Linked DNA regions of Caenorhabditis elegans. The protein of the gene in region 1 interacts with the protein of each later gene in a pairwise test. Each region holds a gene or a part of one and is shown on either strand. Other genes may lie near its edges. The genes, in order: cct-1 and mrt-2.

Region 1 (3,919 bases):
CATCAGAAGCTGTCGATGTAAATGGAAGAGTTCCGTCATCAATTGTAGTTGCCGTTTGCTCCTGTGGATCCAAACCCAGAGCTTTCATTTTTTCAGTGTTCTGCCTGTAAGTATCAAATTAAGAAAATAAATCTTGCGAGGTACCCTTACACAGCGGTTTCTACCCAAACTCCAACGTCGAGGGGCATCGTTTCAGACGCCATGGACGCGAGTGGATCATCATATTCACTTGGGGCACCTCTTGCAAACTTACTGATATAAAGAGTAATTGGTCTAAAAATTAAAAAAAATTAATGCTAATGCGTAGAAAAATACCTTTTGGAGGATGCAGCTTCTCTGAGCGAACGAACTGCTTGAGGCCCACTGAGTTCTTCAAAGGATACTCTATTAACTTGAAGAATCTGATCACCAACGTTCACACGTCCATCTTTTTCAACGGCACCTTCTGGTGCAATTTCGGAAACGAATATATGACCATCAATTGTGCACACGCTCAGTCCCAGATATGGAACATTTTTCATTGGTAGATAAATTTCCAGAATTCGAGGGAGGCCGCTGTTAACACTTGATTCCGTCGCTGAGCTAATAGTACTTGGAACATACGGTCTTCTGAATCTTTCTTTCTTTTGTTTTTTCCTTCTTCTATCGTCATCGTATATCTTATTCATATCACGAGCAGCGAGAGGTTCGTAGAGCGAAGAATCATCTCCTGTTCGACGTGTATGCTCGTCATATTGATACGGATCCTCTGAATTTGAAGTGTATAATTCTGCCAGATGCTCTCCTGCTCTTCCTGAAAAACGTTCATACAGGTTTTTAAGAGTACATAAATAGCAAAAACTCACTGCTAACAATGGTGCTCGGAGCAAGACTAGCATCAGAGTACGGAGTCGCGTCAAAGTCTGCACTTCGTCGGCGGCGCTTAAAATATCAGTTTTTTTTGAAAATAACAGAAATCGAACCTTATCTAGAGCAGTTCTCTGTGGTCGCGTCATTGTTCCACTGTTTCGAGGAAGAGTTCCATATCCTGGAGTGCTAACGAGAAAAATCTCATAAAATCCATTCTGGGATTTGCGCAGCCGATCCGAATCAGTTGTTAATTCGACTTTAACTTCTCTGAACATTTTTCAGTACAGAATAATTACAAAAATTAAAAAAGCCAAAACTCACCGTTGAATATCCGGGTCAAGTTCCTTCGCATAATACTTATATCCACGCTTGGTGAATGAATTTTTGAAATTTCCAAGCGTCGCTACTCCTTCTCTGGCTTCAATAACAGAAACATAGGGAGTCGTTTCATCGTCGAGATAGTAGAAGACCTGGAAGAAAATTATTTCTGTTTAATCACTGGCTTAATAAAAAACAATTCTGATCAAAATTCTTACTTTTATCTGGCTGCAGTCTGATGTGCATGGCGGCTCCATAAATGTTAGAAATCTGAATTCAATATTTTAAATTATAGACCAATAAAATATTTATAAAAATTACAAGAGGAAACAAAAAAAACAAATTTGTTTGCAAAGGACTAGCGGAAACAATTTTATTTTTAATTTATCGGCAATAAATCGCGGGTGGGAACAATGTTGCAAATACGCCCTAGTGACAGCTGGTGTTGGGTCTCGGCACGATTACCCTTCTAGCATGCATGAAGTACGATGCGCTCTGAGAATATTCTACAAGAATTTTAATTTTGATTCAGAATTCAAGGGATCCCCGATTTTCTGGAAGCATTTTTATTTTTACTGAAATATTTTCATTTTTACGTATATTTTTATTTTTGAGTGCTTATTCAAAGCCCCTTTTTGACTCAATATCGAATGTCCTACTCTATTGCTAAGTTAATACGGTTGTGTTTCAGGTAATGGCATCAGCTGGAGATTCCATTCTTGCCCTCACCGGTAAAAGAACTACTGGACAAGGCATCAGATCTCAGAATGGTAACACCGAAAGCTCAATATAAGTATACATTAATTAATTGCAGTCACCGCGGCAGTTGCGATCGCCAATATTGTGAAGTCATCTCTTGGCCCTGTCGGACTTGATAAAATGCTTGTCGATGATGTTGGAGATGTCATTGTCACAAATGACGGAGCCACAATTCTGAAACAACTCGAGGTTGAGCATCCGGCTGGAAAAGTGCTTGTAGAACTTGCACAGCTGCAAGACGAGGAGGTCGGAGATGGAACTACTTCTGTCGTTATTGTGGCGGCTGAGCTCTTGAAGAGAGCCGATGAGCTTGTGAAACAAAAAGTTCATCCGACGACTATTATCAATGGTTACCGTCTCGCGTGCAAGGAAGCCGTCAAGTACATTAGTGAAAACATCTCATTCACTTCCGACTCGATTGGTAGACAATCAGTTGTCAACGCTGCCAAAACTTCCATGAGCAGTAAGATTATCGGACCGTGAGTTTGGTGTTGTCTATGCTTCAAGAAAATTGATTTTTCAGAGACGCCGATTTCTTCGGAGAGCTGGTTGTTGATGCCGCGGAAGCTGTTCGTGTGGAAAATAACGGGAAAGTCACTTATCCTATCAATGCAGTCAATGTTCTGAAGGCCCACGGAAAGAGCGCTCGCGAATCAGTTTTGGTGAAAGGATATGCACTCAATTGCACAGTTGCCAGTCAGGCCATGCCACTTCGTGTTCAAAATGCCAAGATCGCATGTCTCGATTTCTCTTTGATGAAGGCTAAGATGCACCTCGGTATTTCAGTCGTTGTTGAAGATCCAGCCAAGCTTGAGGCTATTCGCAGAGAGTGAGTTGAAACTATTCGTTTCTTTTTAAGCTATGGAATTTTCAGAGAATTCGATATTACCAAACGCCGCATTGATAAAATTTTGAAAGCCGGAGCCAACGTTGTTCTTACAACTGGAGGTATCGATGATTTGTGCTTGAAGCAATTTGTCGAATCTGGAGCTATGGCTGTTCGTCGATGCAAGAAATCAGACTTGAAGAGAATTGCCAAAGCTACTGGAGCCACATTGACTGTTTCCTTGGCTACTTTGGAAGGAGATGAAGCTTTCGATGCCTCGCTTCTTGGACATGCCGATGAAATTGTTCAAGAAAGAATTAGTGACGACGAGCTCATTCTCATCAAGGGACCGAAATCTCGTACTGCCAGCAGCATTATCCTCCGTGGAGCGAACGATGTGATGCTCGATGAAATGGAGAGATCGGTTCACGACTCACTCTGTGTTGTTCGTAGAGTTCTGGAAAGCAAGAAACTTGTGGCTGGAGGAGGTGCTGTTGAGACTTCTCTCAGTCTTTTCCTTGAAACTTATGCACAAACCTTGTCTTCTCGCGAGCAGCTTGCTGTTGCTGAATTCGCTTCAGCGCTTCTCATCATTCCGAAGGTTTTGGCAAGCAATGCTGCAAGAGATTCTACTGATTTAGTGACAAAACTCCGCGCGTACCACTCCAAAGCTCAATTGATCCCACAACTTCAACACCTCAAGTGGTAAGTGAAAATGTTTTTTTTAAAGAGTAGGTTATTACATGTTAGCTTAATGTAATAAAATTAAAATAATTTATTTCAAAAAATTTCGTTTTGTGCTTAGAAAAAGCGTCTAATTCATGTTTTCTGAATTTGAGTCAGTTTATTCACTCTTTTTTTAGGGCTGGTTTGGATCTCGAAGAAGGCACGATCCGCGATAACAAGGAGGCTGGAATTTTGGAGCCAGCTCTTAGTAAGGTCAAGTCTCTGAAGTTCGCCACTGAGGCAGCCATTACGATATTGCGTATTGATGACCTCATCAAACTTGACAAGCAAGAGCCACTTGGAGGAGATGATTGCCACGCTTAAATTTTCCCGTTTACCCCGTTTATATATCCCTGTTTTCCGCGTGCTTCTCACATAATTCCGATCTGCTGCTCCTTATCCCAAATTCTCATGTTCAGCTTTTGTTTTCTTCTTTTGATG
Region 2 (3,919 bases), on another chromosome or scaffold:
TGAAACACAGTGAATTCTTGGTGAATTGAATTCTCACCGTTCGGCTTGTGTCATCGAAGTCCTGAAATAGAGAAAAAAAATTAAAAATTCGTATTTTTTTAATGCAAAAATAAGAATTTTTATTTGAATTTTAGAATTTGCGCGTCAAATCATAAGTATTGGACGTCGATTTTTTTGGGTTTGGGTTGGAAATTCTGCAATTTAATCGATTTTTTTTTATTTTCGAAAAATTGAAACAATAAAAACTACTTTTTAAGCGAAAATCGAATTTTCAAGTAAAATTTTTTTTCCAAAATTGAAAACGGAAAATTTTCGTTTTTAGCTCAAAAAGTCGGAATTTTCGGATTTTTTTTTTGGTTTTTTTTAATTTTGAAAAATTAGAAAATCGGAAAAATATCAAGGTTTTTTCAATCAAAAACGGATTTTTTTTTTGAAAAGTAATGAAAAATTCGAAAAAAAAATTTTTTTCAGAAAATGTTTTAAAATATGAAAAACAGACCAAAAAACACCGATTTTTCTGAACGGAAAACATTTTTTTTCGTTTTTCGACAAAAAAGTATCGAAAAATAAAAATAAAACGTTTTTTTTTTCAAAATTGAAAAACGGAAAATGTTCGTTTTTGGCTCTAAAATTCGGAATTTTCTGGTTTTTTTCGTCTTTTTTTGTTGAAAAATTAGAAAATCGGAAAAACCGAAAAATTTTTTTTCAAAAAAGTCGAAAAAAAGTTTTTTTTCAGAAAATGTTTTAAAATGTGGGAAAAAACCCAAAAACAATAATTTTCTGAAGGGAAACCGATTTTTTTTTTCGTTTTTCGACTAAAAAATTTAAAAAAAAATGGTTTTTTTTTCAAAAAAGCTAATTTTTTCAGAAATTTTTTTTTGGAGTCGAAAAAAACCAAAAAATGTTAATCTGTCAGAACAAAAAGAAATTTTTTTGTTTTTGCGACATTCGAGTAGTTTTTTATTTCATTTTGAAAAAATCCAAAAAAAAATTTTTTTCCAAAAAGTCAAAAAAAAAATTCAGAAAATGTTTTAAAATATGAAAAAAACCGAAAAACACCGATTTTTCTGAAGGGAAACCGATTTTTTTTGTTTTTTCACTAAAAAAGTAAAAAAAAAAGTTTTTTATTTAATTTCAAAAAAAAAACATTTTTTTCGAAAATCCAAAAAAAAAAATTTTTTTTGGAAAATGTCTGGAGTTTAATAAATTTTTTTCGAATGTTTAAAGGTTTCAATGATAAAACCTTGATAATCTCCTTGAGAACTTGAGTTTTAAGCAGATAGGTCGCCAGCACACCAGCGTCATCGAATTCAAAGTCGAGCTCCTAAAAATAGACAAAAAAAAATCTAGGAATTTCGAAAACCCGGCGAACTTGATCTGCCAGCGTTGTTGTAAAATTGCCACGTGCCACCCATCCGTCTGCGTCTTCAACAAGCATTTTCACAGGCTGAAACATTCCCGGATACGAGACTTTTACAGAACTCGACGAGTTTTCCGAAATGCTCAGGAATTCCTGGAATTTTTTTGTTTTTTGCCACTTTTTTGGGCTTTTATGGGCTTTTAAAGGCTCACAGAAATCGATTTAATCGAGATTTTCATCGAAACTATCTCCTCGCGAACTTTAAAACTCGAGAAGAACGCCGGATTGATAAAAACGCTGGCCAGCTGATAGGATCCATCGTCGACTGTGATCTTCATGCCCGCCTCGGAAGCGTGCCACGTTCCTGTCTGGAAAATTGAAAAATTTAGATTTTTTCTCAAAAAAAATGAAATTAATATCGATATTTTCCAACACTAACATCCTTAAAAGCGACGGTTTTGAAGACCTGCGCGAGCTCCTTCACATTTTCTTTTTTCAATTCCATAATTGTGCATTGACCCGTTTCTAATTCCATCATTTTTCCTGAAAAAATTTAAATTTTAACCGGAAAACTGAGAAAAATCGCTGAAAATTAAATATAAATTAAAAAATTAATTCTCGCACCGTTTTCCGAGAGGAGTACACCTGCGGAGTTTTGTAGGCCATCGCACCTCGTCCCTCTCATTTGCGCGGAAATTCAAATTTGAAACCTCCGATTTTCGATCTTTTCACCCTTATTTTACACTGTGGCCAGTGTAAAGTACTTTTTCTTTTTGCGAAAAAGATTTTTCTTTCGAAAGCGAGAGAAGCTCACTGATTGCGTGACACACTCATCCGTCGTATCATTTTTGCTCGAAACTAGTTTACAACTTTTATGTGTGCGTGTGTGTGTGTGCTCTTTTTGGCTCCGGATGAGCTGAGCGGACCACGGAGCTATTATGAAATCCCGCGGTCCCCCATATAAACATGAAAAAAGAGCAATTTTTGGGAGTTTTTGGTGGGAGACGGGGAGGGCAATTTGTTCATACATCAATGCGTTTTTGTGTATTTGCTTTTTTTTTCTTTAGGAAGTTTCGAGATTTTTACGATTTTCCAGGCATTTAGTAGATCCCTAGTGTCCACATTTTCCACGTGGAGTACACGACGCGTGGTCAAATCTGGTGCATTGAATTTTTCGCGCTCCATTGACAATCTCCTGCCGGAAAGGACATTTTCCACGTGGAGTACACGGAACGTGGCCTAGAAAACTTTTCTTGGATCTTCACGGGGTTCTGGCCTTCCTCATTGATTTATTCGCGCTTCATTGATAATCGCCCGCCAGACAACTAAAATCGAGCCGCGACGCGACACGCAACGCGCCGTAAATCTACCGCAGATATGGCCTGAGAGACGCAGGGGTTTTTTTGAAGAAGGATATTTGATGGGACAATGGGAAGAAAAAAGGGATTTACAACTTGAAAATTCAAATTTTGCGCGTCAAATCTGGTGCATTGAATTTTTCGCGCTCCATTGACAATCGCCTGCCGGACAACGCGTGGTAAAGTCGTGTACTCCACACGGACAAATTCATTTAGTTTTACAACTAAAATCGAGCCGCGACACGGAACGCGCCGTAAATCTACTCCAGATATGGCTGAGCCAAAATGGCCTAGTTCGGCAAACTCTTCCATTTCATTTTATGAGGGAAGCCAGAAATCCGTAGTTTTTCTCTAGAATTTTTCTAATTCTATTTTTGTCATGCTAGTTCTTTTCCTCAAATTTGGTAAAATTTGTACTTTTTTACTTGTACTTGAGAATTTGTACTTCAGAAAAATAAGGCAAAAACCGCTTGTCCACGGGGAGTACACGACACGTGGCCTAGAAAACTCAGCGCGGTATTTCAAATTAAATTTCATGCCTTTTTCTGTGTTTTCTGTTATTTTATTACGCTAACAAAAAATCCTGAGAATGCGTATTGGGCAACATATTTGACGCACAAAATATCTCGTAGCGAAAACAAAACTACAGTAACCCTTTAAATTACTACTGTAGTGCGTGTGTCGATTTACGGGCTCGATCAATGATAAATGAATTCATTTCGAAAATCGAGATCCCGTAAATCGACACTACAAATGTCATTTAAAGAATCACTGTAGTTTGCTTTTCGCAACGAGATATTTTGCGCGTCAAATATGTTGTGCAGTACGCATTCTCAGAATTTTTTGTTCCCGTAATATTCTTGCTCCGCATTCAAATTTGAGCCGAGAGAGAAGAAAATCTTGTTTTTTTTTTCGAAATTTCCACGACTCCGCCTCCTGTGTGTGTGTGCATTTTTTGGTTCGTTAGCGCTTGAGGCTATGGGCTCTGTCGAGCTCATTTTTCTGTTTTTTTTTCGTGCTCCCCTTCCTATTTTGGCTCGCGGAGCTCAGCTATAAAGCGAGAAAATTGGTCTATAAAATTTTGATGAAATTGAATTTTTTAATTGCTCTGTAACTGAAAAAATTATTAAATAAAAATTTAATTCCCGCTATAATTTTTTGGTATGCGCCTTTAAATTGTGAACTACAGTAGGTTCAGACA

The links.
Region 2: the proteins of cct-1 (region 1) and mrt-2 interact in a two-hybrid assay, tested with the Caenorhabditis elegans proteins (2 studies listed by BioGRID).

The regions. Positions count from the first base shown.
Region 1 is NC_003280.10:8,183,585-8,187,503, forward strand, and holds the start of cct-1 (T-complex protein 1 subunit alpha), read left to right. Parts: upstream 1-1,858; 5' UTR 1,859-1,861; coding exon 1,862-1,937; intron 1,938-1,981; coding exon 1,982-2,405; intron 2,406-2,449; coding exon 2,450-2,755; intron 2,756-2,800; coding exon 2,801-3,457; intron 3,458-3,615; coding exon 3,616-3,802; 3' UTR 3,803-3,919. Other genes in the region: Segment polarity protein dishevelled homolog mig-5, read right to left, coding at 1-104, 151-273, 316-793, 846-921, 963-1,116, 1,171-1,319, 1,386-1,424. UniProt on the Caenorhabditis elegans protein: Molecular chaperone; assists the folding of proteins upon ATP hydrolysis. Known to play a role, in vitro, in the folding of actin and tubulin.
Region 2 is NC_003281.10:11,745,028-11,748,946, reverse strand, and holds the start of mrt-2 (Cell cycle checkpoint protein RAD1 homolog mrt-2), read right to left. Parts: upstream 2,182-3,919; 5' UTR 1,985-2,181; intron 1,904-1,984; 5' UTR 1,899-1,903; coding exon 1,800-1,898; intron 1,729-1,799; coding exon 1,573-1,728; intron 1,514-1,572; coding exon 1,373-1,513; intron 1,325-1,372; coding exon 1,244-1,324; intron 62-1,243; coding exon 1-61. UniProt on the Caenorhabditis elegans protein: May be a component of the 9-1-1 cell-cycle checkpoint response complex that plays a major role in DNA repair. Promotes DNA double strand break-induced cell cycle arrest and apoptosis, thereby playing a role in genome stability.